3 linked regions of the Saccharomyces cerevisiae S288C genome follow. The gene in region 2 interacts genetically with the main gene of each other region. Each region holds a gene or a part of one and is shown on either strand. Other genes may lie near its edges.

Evidence for each region. A genetic interaction does not mean that the proteins touch.
Region 1: mutations in COG8 (region 2) and SFT2 together harm fitness more than expected from each alone (negative genetic interaction), as found in Saccharomyces cerevisiae (5 studies listed by BioGRID).
Region 3: mutations in COG8 (region 2) and RER1 together harm fitness more than expected from each alone (negative genetic interaction), as found in Saccharomyces cerevisiae (5 studies listed by BioGRID, with this or other methods).

What each region holds. Positions count from the first base shown.
Region 1 is NC_001134.8:21,224-26,588, forward strand, and holds SFT2 (Sft2p), read left to right. Parts: upstream 1-2,874; coding exon 2,875-3,522; downstream 3,523-5,365. Other genes in the region: SEA4 (Sea4p), read right to left, coding at 1-70; RTG3 (Rtg3p), read right to left, coding at 853-2,313; ECM21 (Ecm21p), read right to left, coding at 3,723-5,365. UniProt on the Saccharomyces cerevisiae protein: Nonessential protein required for the fusion of transport vesicles derived from the endocytic pathway with the Golgi complex. Can be partially replaced by GOT1.
Region 2 is NC_001145.3:129,249-134,342, reverse strand, and holds COG8 (Golgi transport complex subunit COG8), read left to right. Parts: upstream 1-2,770; coding exon 2,771-4,594; downstream 4,595-5,094. Other genes in the region: DAK1 (dihydroxyacetone kinase), read right to left, coding at 1-868; TCB3 (Tcb3p), read left to right, coding at 4,976-5,094. UniProt on the Saccharomyces cerevisiae protein: Acts as a component of the peripheral membrane COG complex that is involved in intra-Golgi protein trafficking.
Region 3 is NC_001135.5:109,011-114,325, reverse strand, and holds RER1 (protein retrieval receptor), read right to left. Parts: upstream 2,411-5,315; coding exon 1,844-2,410; downstream 1-1,843. Other genes in the region: YCL001W-B (uncharacterized protein), read right to left, coding at 302-556; YCL001W-A (uncharacterized protein), read right to left, coding at 785-1,246; YCL002C (uncharacterized protein), read left to right, coding at 2,651-2,692, 2,769-3,518; PGS1 (CDP-diacylglycerol--glycerol-3-phosphate 3-phosphatidyltransferase), read right to left, coding at 3,656-5,221. UniProt on the Saccharomyces cerevisiae protein: Involved in the retrieval of endoplasmic reticulum membrane proteins from the early Golgi compartment. Required for correct localization of SEC12, SEC71 and SEC63 in the endoplasmic reticulum.

The DNA of each region.
Region 1 (5,365 bases), on a different chromosome or scaffold from region 2:
TAGGGTTCACTGAAAGATAATCAATCAAATTATCATATGACCAATGGGTCACTTTTTTGATGAGACCCATGTTTATTCTTCTATACGTTCGTGATACTGCACTTACGACTACCAGTAACATCAGAATAACCATAGAGCTTATGCTATCTTGAAATATATCATCGCCGTAAAGTATGATGTGTAGCGCATTAGTCTTCTGCATTCATATTATCAGTGGTATACCGTTTGGTATATGCTTTCCAATCATGAAGTGTTGGCTCTACTCTATATAAATTCGACATCCATTGATTTTCTCAATAAATGAGTTACCCAAGTAAGCTTTCCATTGATACAAGTGATCTACATTCTTGCGACGCCAAATTATAAAGCACTAAAAATCATATCATACCCAATTGCGGGCAGCACATGTATATATTATACACTACTTATAACTAACCTTCTTCATATATAACAATATGCCTGATAATACTAATGCATTTAAATCATATCATGAAAGAAAATTACATGGGTTTTATTGACATAATTGCATTTAGAATACATAAAATTCTAAAGAATTAATATATCCAAAGTATTAGACATAACCAAGAATAATAGTGAATAATTTTAGATTTTGTTACATATAATTCTGCTTGCCTATCTCTTCCACTCTTTTCAAAACGTTGCATGTAAGCGTTACTAATATTCCGCTTTATTTTGTTGCAATTCCTAATTTTTTCATTACATTATCTTGCGAGTACGGAAGCGATTAACGTTCTCCCAATAGAAGGAACAAACATAGATATTGAAGTTTTACTGCTTTTGCTTACCTGACCTTTTTCAAATTTAATTTTTTCCCGCTAATAAGACCATAAACTACCCCGAACCAAATTCTAAAAGATAGTCAGCTGGATTAGAGTTGTCATCTCCAAACATTAATTTTGCATTATCTTCGGCTTCAATCAAATCGCCTGATAAGAACTCCTTTAATTCTTCATGAATGTTTGTATGTGGATGACTCTCCATAGTGCCAGCATGATTGTGGTTACCGACCGAATCATATAACGGTGGCTCCCAATTGTGCAATTCAGCCTTACTATTTTGTTCATTCATCAAAGCATTTGGGACAGATCTAATATCTATAATTCTTTCCTCACTATTCTCGCTATTATTTTGCCCCGAACTGGCATGGTGGTTATTGGTAAAAGGAGATAATGCTGCGACAGAACTTTTCTTCTCTTCCAATTCTTTTATCTTCGCCAATAACGCCTTCTTTTTTCGTGCTTGTATTTCTAAAATTTCGGCCAGGTATTGTAAATATTCGACCGTTCTATCCAAAATGATACCCTTATTTGGTTTGATTTGTTTACCTAGGTCATCGTAATTCAATAAAGATGGTGGAACCAACTGGCCGAGTTCTTTTATCTTTTGCTTTATTAATTCTCTTCTTCTCCTTTCGACGGCATTATGAAACTCTCTTTTGCGCCTCAGTTTCTCATCAGAAGTTAACCCGCCTAAAATCTTTGGAACACTTCCAGGTCCTATATTTTCAGTCATATTGCTACTTATTGAAGTGTGTCTTGTTCTGGGTGTGTTTATGCTACCATGCCTAAAAGAAGATGAAAGGAAACTTCCTGCACGAAATGACGATGATGGTGATCTTACCTTTGGGGAATATGTGGAAGATACGGATGCTGGGCCCAAGCTTTGTGGATTATAAGAAAATGATGATGAATATGTGTTTGGTGTCATCATATCAGAATTGATGCTAGAAGATAAAGAGGAGCTCAAATCATCAGTTAAGTTATACATTGTGTCATCGGTGCCATGCTGAAATAAAAAGTCATGTGGTAACTCAGCTTTTAAGCCTTCTTGTTGCTGTAATGGAGTATTCATTGCTCTATCCACAGGTGAGTCGTAAGCCATAGAATAAGATGATCTCAAGGGACCCTGCCCTATGGAAGATATGGAATTTTGAGTGACAGGTCTACCGCCTTGGCTTGTTCTAAACATATCATCCAGGTAAGACGATTGCGATTCTGCTTCCTCATATATGGTCGAAGCTGTAGGAGTTTGTGAATTGGACCTCGCTTGACTGCCCATTAAGTTATTATTATCGTTAGAGTTGTGCGTATTGATGTATGAGAGTTTTTCATGCTGTTGGGCAGGAGTCTCACCACCTGGGTAGGCACTTCCGTGTATCTTGTAATCATCATTGTGGTGTGGAGTGGGTGTCACTAACGAAAAATCTAAAGTTTCCTGGAGGACTTTTGTCTGGTTCATTAATTCGTCCAGTAGACGTTGGTTCTCAGCCTCACTTTCGTTATTGTTCATCATTCTTCACTTATTTAAGAAGTAGGTTCGCCTGACAAAAAATAAGAGTATTCTATTAAAGGATACTTGTCAACTAAGTAATGTGAATGCAGTAATGTCGTTTTTGTTATCTTATATATGCTCACGTAAGACAGAAATTCGGATTGTGAAAAATTCCTTGATGATTCCGTGCAGCCTCTAGCCAAAATAGCAACTGCGAGTAAAAAATAATGTACTAACCTGCAGTAATATTGGAGATCCTACTGTCCGGACCGAGTAGTACAATTGTTAGTTTCTGTTGCTCATAAGAAGGCTTTTCTAATCACCATGGCTTTATTATTTCAAAAGTAACTTGCGAAGAGTCACATCCCGCGGAACGGCCCGCAATCGTGACCCGGCAAAAGGCGATTGTAATGAAGAGGGAGTATTGGTCAAGACTTGTACTATACTGAAATAGGAAGAAGATTGAATAAATTTGCATTCTAATTGCGTTCGGTAGTTTAGAGTAGGACTTAGATTACCTGTATTGTCTGCAGTTGCGTTTTTTTTTTTTGCTGGTAAAAAAAAAGAACAAGTGTGGAGAATATGAGCGAGGAACCACCTTCTGACCAGGTCAATAGTCTCCGTGACTCATTGAATCGATGGAATCAAACAAGACAGCAGAACTCGCAGGGTTTTAATGAATCTGCGAAGACATTGTTCTCAAGCTGGGCGGATTCTCTCAATACCAGGGCCCAGGATATATATCAGACGTTGCCTGTATCTAGACAGGACTTGGTGCAAGACCAGGAGCCGTCGTGGTTCCAATTGTCAAGAACGGAAAGAATGGTACTTTTTGTCTGTTTTCTTTTGGGTGCAACAGCCTGTTTCACTCTTTGTACTTTCCTTTTCCCCGTTCTAGCCGCTAAACCAAGAAAGTTTGGTTTACTATGGACAATGGGGTCCCTACTATTTGTTCTTGCGTTTGGGGTACTTATGGGACCACTCGCGTACTTAAAACATTTGACTGCAAGGGAAAGGCTGCCTTTTTCGATGTTCTTTTTCGCCACATGCTTCATGACGATTTATTTCGCAGCCTTTTCCAAGAACACGGTGCTGACTATTACATGTGCTCTTCTTGAATTAGTTGCCGTCATTTATTATGCTATTTCATATTTCCCATTCGGTGCAACAGGTTTGAGGATGTTAAGCTCTGCTGGTGTCAATTCGGCAAGAGGTGTTCTGCGCATCTGAATTATCATTCATAGTGCATATTGAATTGATTAGTTGAAGAAGAAAAATAATGTTTATGTTATAAGAAACAATAATAAAGAGATTTATAACCTAACCTAATTAAATAGCATGTAGTCAACAAAAAGGGAGTAAAACATGCAGTGGCTCTATATATATAATTATCGTAGAATAATTCAAAAAAAAATAAAAAACGAAAAAATTCATTCTTCATCACTCATCAAAGGCACTATTTCGTCATAACGCGGAGGCTCGTTACCATGAGAGAGTAGCGAATCTGCGGAGCTCGAACTTACTATTCCTTCTTGTTCTTCATCATCTTTTACATTCGCTAAAGTGTAACCCTTTTTGAAAAATTCGTTCTGTTTGTCCTTAGAGTTTTCAGTGGTAGCGTTTGGAATCCTCACAGTACCATTTGCTTGTGATAAGCCATTTGTTGGTGATGAATTGTGAGATCTATTGACGGGCGATGGAGTGCTCAATAATTTATCGAGATTATTGAATCTTGACCTGTCATTCACTGACGTTGCTCTTGCTCTAGCAACACCTTGGCCACTATTGCCCGAAACAAATGCGGAATTCGAAATACTGCCGTTCATGGCATTGGCATTTGAAATACTGTTCCGATTAACATTTGGCACACCGGCATCATCGCTGTATCCGGATGGCCCACTAACTGACGTAGTTCTTGATAAGTTCAATTGTTGAATAGATAGTAAATCAGGGTCATACGAGGCCATGATATTAGGTGATCCCATCGGTGAGACAATGGGAGAAGCTGGAACGGATATGGCTTCTTCAAAAGTTGGCGGAGGTGGACATGTGTTACCAAAAAAGTCGCTGTTCATACTTAGAGGAACCTGGTTGCCTTTGCCTTCCATTGTGGCCATATCATAAGTGGGTAACTCCATATTACCACTGTTGCACTGTTCAGACACCAGGAATATGGGCGTATCGATTAGAACCTCATAATGTCTTAATTTGGACGGACACTCAGGATCAGGTTTACTGATTCGTAGCATAATTTCCAGCTTATGTCTACAGTAAACATTACTGAAGTGTAAACTATCCAAGTACAAGCCTCTTTTCGGTGTGTTTAATCTGGTATGTGTTTTCACGGGCAAACCAGAATTGGATTTGATTATTGTTTGATGGAATTTTGGATCATAAACAGGTTTTTCATTTTCTTCATGACTTTTCGAGCCTTTATGACCGGATAAAAAGCCTATTACACTGGGACGACGGTGTGAGGGTCCATTGGCTACGGCATGTTCGGGATTGGGGATGCTCGTGTATGCATCGATACCATAAGGTGGTATTATCTTTGCGGTTCTTTTATCCAAATCTTCGTATTTGGGGAACTTCAATTTTGTTTCAATAATTATTGGTTCCGTTATACCGAGCCTTTCTTTCGGATTGCCTTTTGAATCGCTGTCGTCATCAAAAGGACTATAAGATAAGAGATTGTCATTGAATGAATTTTCAACAATTTCCTCCCTTAGAGCTCTCGTGCCCTTCTCCTTAGTTCTGATTTCAAATAATGATACACTTCTTTCCTTTCTTCTCTTGGAGGCGAAATCTAAATAATACGGATTATAAGGGTCTTTAGCAACGGGATCTGTTTGATCATACTCATATTCATAACCTTTACTAACAAATGTGACTCTTTCAGTAATACTGACATGAATACGTTTAACACAAACGTTTTTGCATATCGGTGCCAATTTTATCTTGATTGGGACTTCACTGTTTAGTGAAACGTATTTCTGAGCAAAGGAAATCTCGTATGACAAAGAATCTGTCCAAACCCTATTAATATAGATTGGTTTATTCGCAGTGGATACGG
Region 2 (5,094 bases):
AATCCGTAGTTTTGGAAGTGATAGAACTAATAACAAAATTAGAAACACCGCCGAGATTGTTAACTAACAAGACAACTTCATCATCTTCATCAAACTTTACAAAAGCTCTATCCTTATCGTTTGGATCCAATAGTTTTGGTAGCATATACTTGGAGATCAAGTCTTCGGTAGAAGGAATAGGGTCTAAAACTTTCACACCAGGTTCGTTATGAATACCCATACCCAATTCCATTTGTTTTTCGTTTAATTCACTTTCGAATTTCCTGCCAGGAACTTTACAATGGTCTAAAGAAGATCCAATGGTCACCAAATTGTCGTTGATAATTTTAGCCACTTTAGCTGTACCGTCTAAGCCATACTTACTAGAATATTCTTCTGCGAAGGCACCTACAATCTTATGAACCAAAACGGTACCTGCCAATGCTCTTCTACCAACCATACCACCCTTTTCTCTGCCAACTGCAACATCATCACCTATGACAGCAACGCGGCAGTTAATACCCAAGGCTCTTGCTCTCTCAGCGGACAGACCAAAATGCAAAACATCACCTGTGTAGTTCTTCACAATCAATAAAACGCCAGACGCATTTTCATTGACTAAACGGATTGCATTTAAAATCTGTTTTGTTGAAGGGGATGCAAAAATTTCGCCAACCACGGCGCCACTCAACATACCCTTACCAATGAAACCGGCGTGTGTAGGTTCATGTCCACTACCACCACCAGAAATTAATGCGATCTTGTCGGAATCGGTCTTTCTGAAGAGAATTTTTTCTTCAGGGACCAGCGTAATGGAGGGGTTAGCAAGGGCAAACCCTTTGAGACTTGAATTGACTGGATCTGTGACTTCAAACGATTTAGCGGACATTTAAAATTTAGTCTTAGATATAGAATGTAATCTTATTCTTTGATGTGTTCGTTTACAGTTGCTACAAATAGTGACTACTTGTAGCGAAGTTGAAGTGATTTTCTCCTTATATATTTATTCATCAGTTAGTTCGACAGACGCTCGCGAGGTGGCCACTCTTTCAAAATGACGCAATTGGGAGTGGTTTGATCTTTCTCCCTTAGAAGCCAAATTGGCAAGCACTCACTCCGGGCCAGATTTACACCATGTTTGTAGCGCATTTAAATCAGGAAATGCATTATATTTCACTCTCTCGTCTAGCGAGTCTTAATGTTCATGACGGGGGAGCTTTATGCCTTGTTTTTTATCACAGCGCCAGACAATTGACAGTAACAAATAAAGGCAAAAAACCCTTGAATAGCACCAGAGGTGTTTACTGATTGCTTTTAAAGTACGTATAAAACTGTAAAATATAGATTAAATTCGACCGCCATTACTTTAGAGTTGAAATTGGGAAGCCGTATATTGCCATTTCAGCCATGCTTCTATGGTTCCTAATGGAAGCATGAATGACATACGCAATTTGATGAGCTTGAAAAGGGCGTAATTGACAAGCCAGATTTGAATCTAATCCCTTGAGAAATTATCTGCAAGTAGTAAAAAAATCTCTAAAAGATGTATAATTGAGTCGCCTAGAGACCTCATTCATCATGATATTTGACACCTTAATTTTGATAGTAGCGGGTCAGTCATTAAGAAGAAAGTGAGCTGGGGCTAATCATCAACGATCTCCCATAATTACGTACGTCAAAGACAACACGTTGGCAAAGGTAAGAAGAACGTAGTGCGTATCATGCTTACGGTGAATTTCACCCTTTTTTTCTGTTATTCGTGCTGATCCACGGGGTATTCAATTGAAGATATTATCTTTATCATCATATCGGTAAGCGTCTGGGAGAAGCAACTGGTCAAACGTTTTCAAAAACCATTCTTTAAACAACAAACCGATCAATGTTCTTGATCAGCTTATCAATCTATCCGATCTCCTGCGTTCAGCGTGACCGCCACACTTATGTCTAGATAATTTAACTTCCAGTTGCTAATTTCCCGCTAAAGTATCTTATGTTTACCATCACTGTAGCCGCCCTATCATATGCAACACTTCCATACTCATTTTCGGAATAAGAAGCAACTATCATCTAACGACTAGTATTTATATTACTGGTATATTACCATATTGGGTATAAGACGGTCAAATAAATATTGAGAAACAGTCACCAATTTTAATGGAAATTGAAATGAAAGGGTTGATAATGTGCTAGGAAAATGAACGAGAACATACAAAATGAAAGAAGAAATAATAATATTCCTACACAGAAATATCGGTTCTCTATTGTGGATTTTCATATTCTCGAGGAGAACCTCTAGTACATTTTGTGTATCTGGTATCACAGCGCTTGACAACTATAGAATTTAAACAATTATCTCATTCTTCATCCATCACTCAATCATATATATTAACCCCGGAAAAGTGCATTTTTGGTTTCTAATAACATTTGTATTAGTAATATTTGTTTACCCAACAATTCAAGAAATTTAGCTCGCGTGGCGTAATGGCAACGCGTCTGACTTCTAATCAGAAGATTATGGGTTCGACCCCCATCGTGAGTGCTTTGTTTCTTCTTTTTTGAATATGCTAATTCTAAATTTATAGGAAGAGTTGGATTTTCCTTTAGTTAGTTGTACTCTTGAAGTCCATTTTCTTTTTATACGTACATTAGATCGATCTCGCGATCATGGCTTCAATGTCTAAAAATATAGCGTAGTAACATACTGAAAAGAGAAGCACAGAAAAAATAATCATAGAAGTGTTAGGACATTTGAGGGAACATATTTCAACAATAAACATAATCATTGAGTAAAATGGAGCTGATACTAAACAGCCTCATTTCTGATGATTTAACAGAGGAACAAAAACGGTTAAGTCTTGATTTCCTACAGGATATCCTACAATCTAACACGAAAGACTATGAAAGTTATTTTTCATCTAGGGCTGTTCCTGGTAGCATAACTGAAGACATAGCAGAAATTGATGCTGAATTATCTGCCCTTGATAGAAAGATAAGGAAAACACTACTAGATAATACGTCTCAGATTATCGGAAATATTCTTGAAAACGATGATAGGGCTCAATTGGATGATATAGCCAAGTCTTTGGAGCAATTATGGGAATTGGATACTAATATTAATAAGGCAGCCGATCGAAACGTTACAAATGACGATATAAACAATGAAAGCGTTTCTATTGATGACTTTTTGGAAGACGATAAAGAAGACAACGACACAGGTCGCATCATGACGACTGAGAGTAACAATCTGGCAAGAAAGAAGAAGGAGGATGAGTTTCACAAGGCATTAAGTAGGTTAAGAAACAGAATTTCAACTAAAGAAGATGACAAGGACGACATTAGATCTGACACATTAGTCACTGTACTAGAAAATTTGGATAGCATTACGGATTTGATGGAACTACCATTTTTGGCCCGCACATGTATCAGAACAGGTCATTACCAGGAGGCCGTCATGCTATACACACACACTACTTCCCTGAGGTCAAGATTCCCTGGTTCAACCATTGTGGATGAAGTTTGCGAAAAAGTTTTAAACGAAATTAGTACTACCATGTTATCCGGGCTGGTAAAATTACTGTCTACTAATGTATCAGTAAACTCACTAAAGAAAATACTACAGTACTTGAATTCAATTCCACCATTTGATGGAAAGACTAATAAATCATTATTAAGTGTGTTTTTAGCCATGAGATACAAATTCATTACCGATGAAATAGCATCATATCCTTTGGACGTTGAGTCTTCTAATGAATCTTTAATTGAAATGATGGTTAAGAGGAAAATTGAAGTCCTCAGGGAACATGTCTACATGTCCTTGAATGTCTTTCTGAAAAGCTTCTTGTATGATACAAATGACTTAGAGATTCCTTTCCCAGAGGAACTAGAAAGTACTGTGCTAAGGATAAATGGGACTAACGAAGAGAAAGAAATTGAAGAAAAGGAGAAAGAAACAAAGAAGGAAGAATATCAAAAACAAGATAGCGTAGCGAACAATGAAGAAGATGTGACAGAAAATAAATCGATAGAAGATGTACAAGAGGAAGTACAAGGCAAAGTGGAAGGCGAAGATGATGGAGCAGAAAGGAAAACAGAAAATGAGATAGAAAATGAAACAGTAAACAAAACAGAAGACAAGGCTGAAAAAGAAAAAGAGGAAGAAGTAAATACCAAAGATAACAAGGCAGAAAAAGAGGAAGAAGAAATTAATAAGGTTGAGGTGACCCCAGAAGAGCCAAGCAAAAGCATAGATAACAAGGCAGAAAAAGAAGAAGAAGAAATTAATAAGGTTGAAGTGACCCCAGAGGAGCCAAGCAAAAAGATTCGGACTTCAAAAAGGGAAAACAAAATACCTACAAATGCAGTCATGTTGCAATTCGTTGATAAGTGCATAACATACGTATTAAAAGACCTCACTCGTGGGTTAAATAGCATCAAGCTGAGTGACTCCGTTTGCCTGCAGTTGGTGTACTGTTCATTCCGTCTTTGCGACCTGAATCGAAACTACCACCACCTCTTCCTAAAAAAAATCAATGACACTAGCTTGTTTACGACCGAGCAGCTCGCCCGGGCAATTGACAAGAGAGCAGAACTGGCCTCTAAATATATATACTCCTAGTATAATATTGGCTCACTATGTATTTTCAAAATGACGATCGTCCGAAATTTCCATTTTTTTATTTTTTTTTTTCACTTCTTCGCCAGCGCGAGAAGGGGGAGAAACAACAATACGAGAATGTATGTATACCTTTACAACACACTGCTGCAGTCAGAAAGGGAAAAAGGGATAATTGTACCTTACATCCTTTAGAATTGCACTTACCTTTTCCAATTGCGATACATTTCACTTTGATAGACAACTTTGCTTTTTAGCGTTACTTAATTTAATCAGTTTTCTTCTTAACAATATAAAGAGCATCATTAGCTAGCTTTGTTTATTGACATACGCAATATTGCTAGAAAGAAAATAAGTAGAGCTACGCATTGAAAGTCAAGAAAAATGACTGGCATCAAAGCTCAAGTCCATCCCCCACCTGATAGTACCCTATTTCATGAGGAGGAGAAGAAGAAAGTAGGAGGCAATTTACCTCAAAAGGTCATAAATCAACAAGAAAGGGG
Region 3 (5,315 bases), on a different chromosome or scaffold from region 2:
TGATCGCCATGCCATGTTTATGAAATGTATAGGTACTGTACTATAAGCGGAAGGGGAAGGGTTCGGTTTATATGAGTGATTTAGATAAATTTTAGAGTTTAGCTACGCTGCAAGCTATTGAAACTATTGTGTAATAGAAGTGGTAGCAATATGTAGCAAAGAAGACAAGTAATCCTTATATTCTGTTTGACAAGTGTTAGATAAAAAGAAAAAAATTCGAAGTTAATGTTGAAATTTCACTTATTTTAGTCATCTTTGAAAAGTTCATCAAGGTATTGGATGGTATATTTTAAGACACAGCCTATATCTGTTGGTTTGTCAAGTTGCTCACTGTGATTTTTGAAGTACTGAGTACGAATATTTTGCCATTGTTGTTTCCACTATTCTCTATTAGGTCTAGGTATTTTTCACGTTTTTTCACGTCGTTCCTTTTTAGTACACTATCTGTAATAAGTAGTGTTTCTATTGCATCTAATTTTGCAGCTCTCTCGGTTTCTTCCGCGCCATACCATGCTTTGTTATCGTCTTTGCTCAAATGTTCAAGGAAATCGTCCATGATACGGGATTCTTTCAACTTTTTAGTGTTATGCACTATCATAGAGTATTCAGGATTTCTTACAACCTCATCGATTCCCTGTAGATATTTTGTAGAACTAGAACAATGGGCGAAAACAGCTTATCTCGGTTCCTTAAAACTGGCTTATTTGCTCCTTCTCTGCATATATCAGAAATTTTTTCAGCAGTGTCTTCGCATAAAATCCAGGGGAGCATAATATTATTATTCTCAGTTCATCAAAATTGAAATTTCTAACCACTGTGTCATCCGTTCTTTCTTGTCACACAATTTGCTAATATCAGTTCTATCTTTCTTTTTTGGAAACTTCAATTTTAGTTTTAATATAATTGAAGACGCTTTCAATAAGCAAATGCCAGAAAATCCTTCTTGCAGAACCACCGTAGCAGTTTCTGAGTTTGATTTGGAGTCGATTGCTTCTTTCAAAAGTTTTCTGGCACATTTGTTAAAGTGGCGCTTAATAGCAGTAAATAGATGTTCACTGGTGCTAGCTATATAGCGCAGATAATTCTCTATTACATCAAATTCGTGGGATAAGTTTTTTAATCTTACAGCTACTAAATTGGTAACTGTTTTTCTTATCATCTCATTCTTCTTAGTTTTGAATAATTTTTCTGAAATATAACCTTGTCCTTCTTGTCTATTATTATTGATAAATTGTAAAAAGGTCATCTTTAAGTTGACGAATCAACGTGATAATTGTGTAACCGTTATCTTCGCTGTCGTTTTTGCTACAGATATGATTTTCATTTTCCATTGAAGTCTATTGTGCCACTTAATCAAAATGCGTTCGATGATAAATTTACTAAGTTCTTTAATAACTTGGAAAACTAATACACTAAAACACATGCACGCCACGGAGTATGGACATTATAAACGTGTGAACATTTCAAACTCACAACTTGCATGACATTACTCTCTCTTTTGCATCCTTTATTCCTCGACATACCCCATTTCTCACTAATTTGGTATTAGTAATTATGCAGAAAGGTTCGAAGCTGTCAATTCTTTTTAGACATGTTTCTTGAAAGTCTTTACAAAAATTTATCAATTGGAGGCATCTCAAGCTCTCCATTTATAAATGGAAGAAAATGAGCCTCTTCCCTTCAATTTTGCTTAATCAATAACTTCATGTATTCTTCCAATATAAGAGAAGATGAGTAGAAGGAGAAAATAATCACAATTATTCTGTAACTATCATATAATTTTGTTTACATATAATTAAGATACGAATGTGTTCGTTGAATAGGTATGTGGAGTCAGGGTATATCAGTTAGAAGAATGAGAATATTTCTTCTTACCGATATCTAAGGGTATATATCTATATTTTATCATATGTTGAATCTGCCTTCTCATAGTTAAAAAAAACAATAATATGAAATACATCAATAAGATGGGCCAAAATACTGGAATATCGAAGATTGAAAATAGCGACAACAAGAGGGAAATGACAGTGGCTCTAATGCTGTTATACCAGAATTTGAACTCTGGTAATCTTCTGATGAATGGACGGAATTCTTCTGATTTTTCTCCAGCTTCCAATTCGTTGTTTTCTTCATCTTGCTGTAAGGACATATCGAATTTTGGGGTCAAAAAGGCTAAAAATTGATTCAATAAAAATAGACCTAGACCATAACAAATCACATACCAGCCTTCGGCCATTGTAATACGAACCATAAACAAACATAACAAACCACCCAATACAGCCCACCTCTCCTTAGCGTGAGGAGTGACTTTATCCAAATAGTGTTGATATAATAATTTCATTGTATTCATCTTAGTGATTAAGGGGTTACTTGAACCACCGTTCATTGTATCAGAGCTATCGTAATCCATCTTGCTTCCTTTTTTTGATACTCTATGCCTTTCGTGTAACACTTAGTCCCAAATCGAAATCGCCTTTCTTGTATCGTTATTTTTCTTATGTATAATTCGTGTTCTACTGCAGAGGCGTGTTTTGACAAGTTTTTTTTTCCTCTGCGAACGAAAAACCCACAATTTTTAACCTCATTGAGGTAAGGTTTTCCAGAGGAGAGGTTGAGGAGCCCTGCGAAGCAATTATATTGAATCATTCACATGCTTGTTATTGTTCTGCAGGGCTTGGCAGGTTTTTTATCAGTATGCATAATTGAAGGAGAAAGTATACATGAAAGGTTTGACTAACTAAGGGAGAAAACTTCCATTTCTTACATAGATCATCGCCATTCTATGTCAAAAGCGCTATAATAAACTTCATCGATCTATTTACGGGCTTTCATATGATTTATTTCTGCTAGATTTTGTTGGTAATGGTCTGTACTTGTATTGCGCGTTGCATTATTGTTATTCATCTCTGGTGAGGGAACAACTGTCTCAAAGATTCCCACTTTTTTATCCGTTGAATGATGCCCGTAGTATACCTATATCCAGTTTCCTCATTCTAAAAGATTTTTGCGTTTCCTGTTGCTGCATGATGGTTTTAAGGCAGTTATACTATTATAGGTCAACTAAACATATTTATCAGGGCATTTCCATTACTTCCATAATAATTATAAGTGTGTTCCTTGTATTAGGCATATTTACATATGGCTGTTCCATCTCTAATTTACCGTTGAAAAATTCAGGTAAATTTGGCGTTTTCTATTTGGAACACATAAATTATTTGTGGGTAATGGCAAATCTGCTTAAATGTTTCAAGTATGTGCCTCAAATGAGTATAAACTGGATGGGATGCTCAACAGTAGGTTTATCATCAAAGTTTGCATTGATATCATTTTTGGCTGAATCTATCGATTTATTAGGTAGACTGGTAATACCGACCAATGCATTGTTTTACGAGATACCATTTAATTCAACGCCCTTTTGGGTAAAATTGATACAATTTGTCACCTTATTGGTCATACTTTGTCAAGTTCAGTATGTTTACGTAGGACGGAAACCACGGTTGCCAAAAGGAAAACTATAACAAGGTCAGCTCATTCTCTACCTTAATGGCTTTGCGATGTTTGCAAATTTAAGGAGTTTTAGATAATGCATTTATTATTACTATTTTTTCTTTTATTTTTCCATATTTACAGGCGACATACTATGATAGAATAGAATCTAAAGTTTTTTACCCAAAATGGAGGTAGCTATCTTTACACCAGTGCCAACATGTCTTTCTGGGTCTGATTGAAAGTCTTCTAGAGTTACAGGTTTTGTATATTGTAATAAATTATCTAACTCTGCTTTCATTTTTTTTCTTAGCTCTTCATCTCTTGTAATAATGAGAGCATTCGATTCCAAATCTAATGAATACGCCCTTCTCGTATAGTTTGAAGATCCTATAACCGTGATAAAGGGTTTCCAATTGTTAGCATCATTTTTATCACGAGCGGAAAGCCAAATACCTTTTGCGTGATATGACCAACCATTCGGCTTATTTACTACGCCTCTTTGCCATTCTCTTAATGTAATAGCATGATCTTGTCTGTACCTACATACATCTTGTAGAAATTTTTTTGACAGGTACAAGTAAGCACCAGGTAAATTTGATGAGACGCCCTTTGATTGGTAAAAGCCGTTTGCAAAGGGGGAAGCTGTTATTACATTTGCCTCAGCAACCGGCGTTGCCAGCAGTTTTGCTTTGATGTCTGGCAAAATATTGAAGTATCCTGCAGTGAACGTCCAAGAAATGGCATTGCTTGTTATAGTGGAAAGCAATGACAATATTGTTCTTTTTTCGGTCGATTTGTCATTATATTTGGGAAAAAGTGGAGTGAATTGAGAAATTGGGTAAACTAATGTGGAGAATTGACCCACGGCAGTAATCGGGAGGCTTTGTTTAGAACTCTTTAAAAAGCCATCTAGTAATTGAGATGCTTCCCTTAAAAACAGCCTTTTATTTTTCGTCGGTTCAACAGTAGGATTCGAATCTGGCCAAATGATGTTGATGCTACCATCCACCATTGGCTTTATAATCTGATAACTGAAGGAACTTATGAGTTGATGTAATTTAAAATAATAGTTGGAGAAGTTTCGAGATTTAAAGAGATAGTATCTATCTTGTCTGTTGGTGAAATAGTCGTTCGAAAGGTTGGCTCCCGAAAGAATGACCTCGTTATCAAACCCATATATTTTCATATGTTGTAAGCCTAAACCTTCATTAAATCTCTTGGGAACCAAGACTTTTTTCCAACCATGATAAGCAGGCGTCTTGTACAATCGGCAATCCACTCTCTCTGACCCATATTTGGCTACTAAAGACGATAATAAAGTGGCGGAACAGGCGGAAGGCAATTCTCTTGTTCCTCGAAGGCCATCAAGTAGAAAAGAAACTTTCAACTTGGGGTTCTTGGTCAATGCCTGGGATATGCAGTCCACCAACTCAGTCTCGCTTTTGCCTAAATACAGAGACGCAATGAATATTCTATTTTGTGAATTAAGTATTTTTGTCTTCAAGAGATCGTAAAACTGAGATGGAGATTCGATTATATCGATTTCTTTTGCTTGGAAATGAAAGCATGTTTGTAAATTCTGTTGTAGGGACTTAGTGATCGTGTTCAAATAATTGCCAAATGGAGAAGGGTTCGCAGCGGACATCTGCCTTTTTATATTGAAGGGTTTCTGGAGAGGTAGGGATAATAATCTGTAATGAGGACGAGTGAGTTGGAGCAAACGAGTCGTCATTAATATATGTTATCCTGAGTATGCTATTAGCAATTATGGACAAGCTGGGTGTCCTACATTATATCTACTTTCTTGTGTGGGCTGCTTTTTAGGA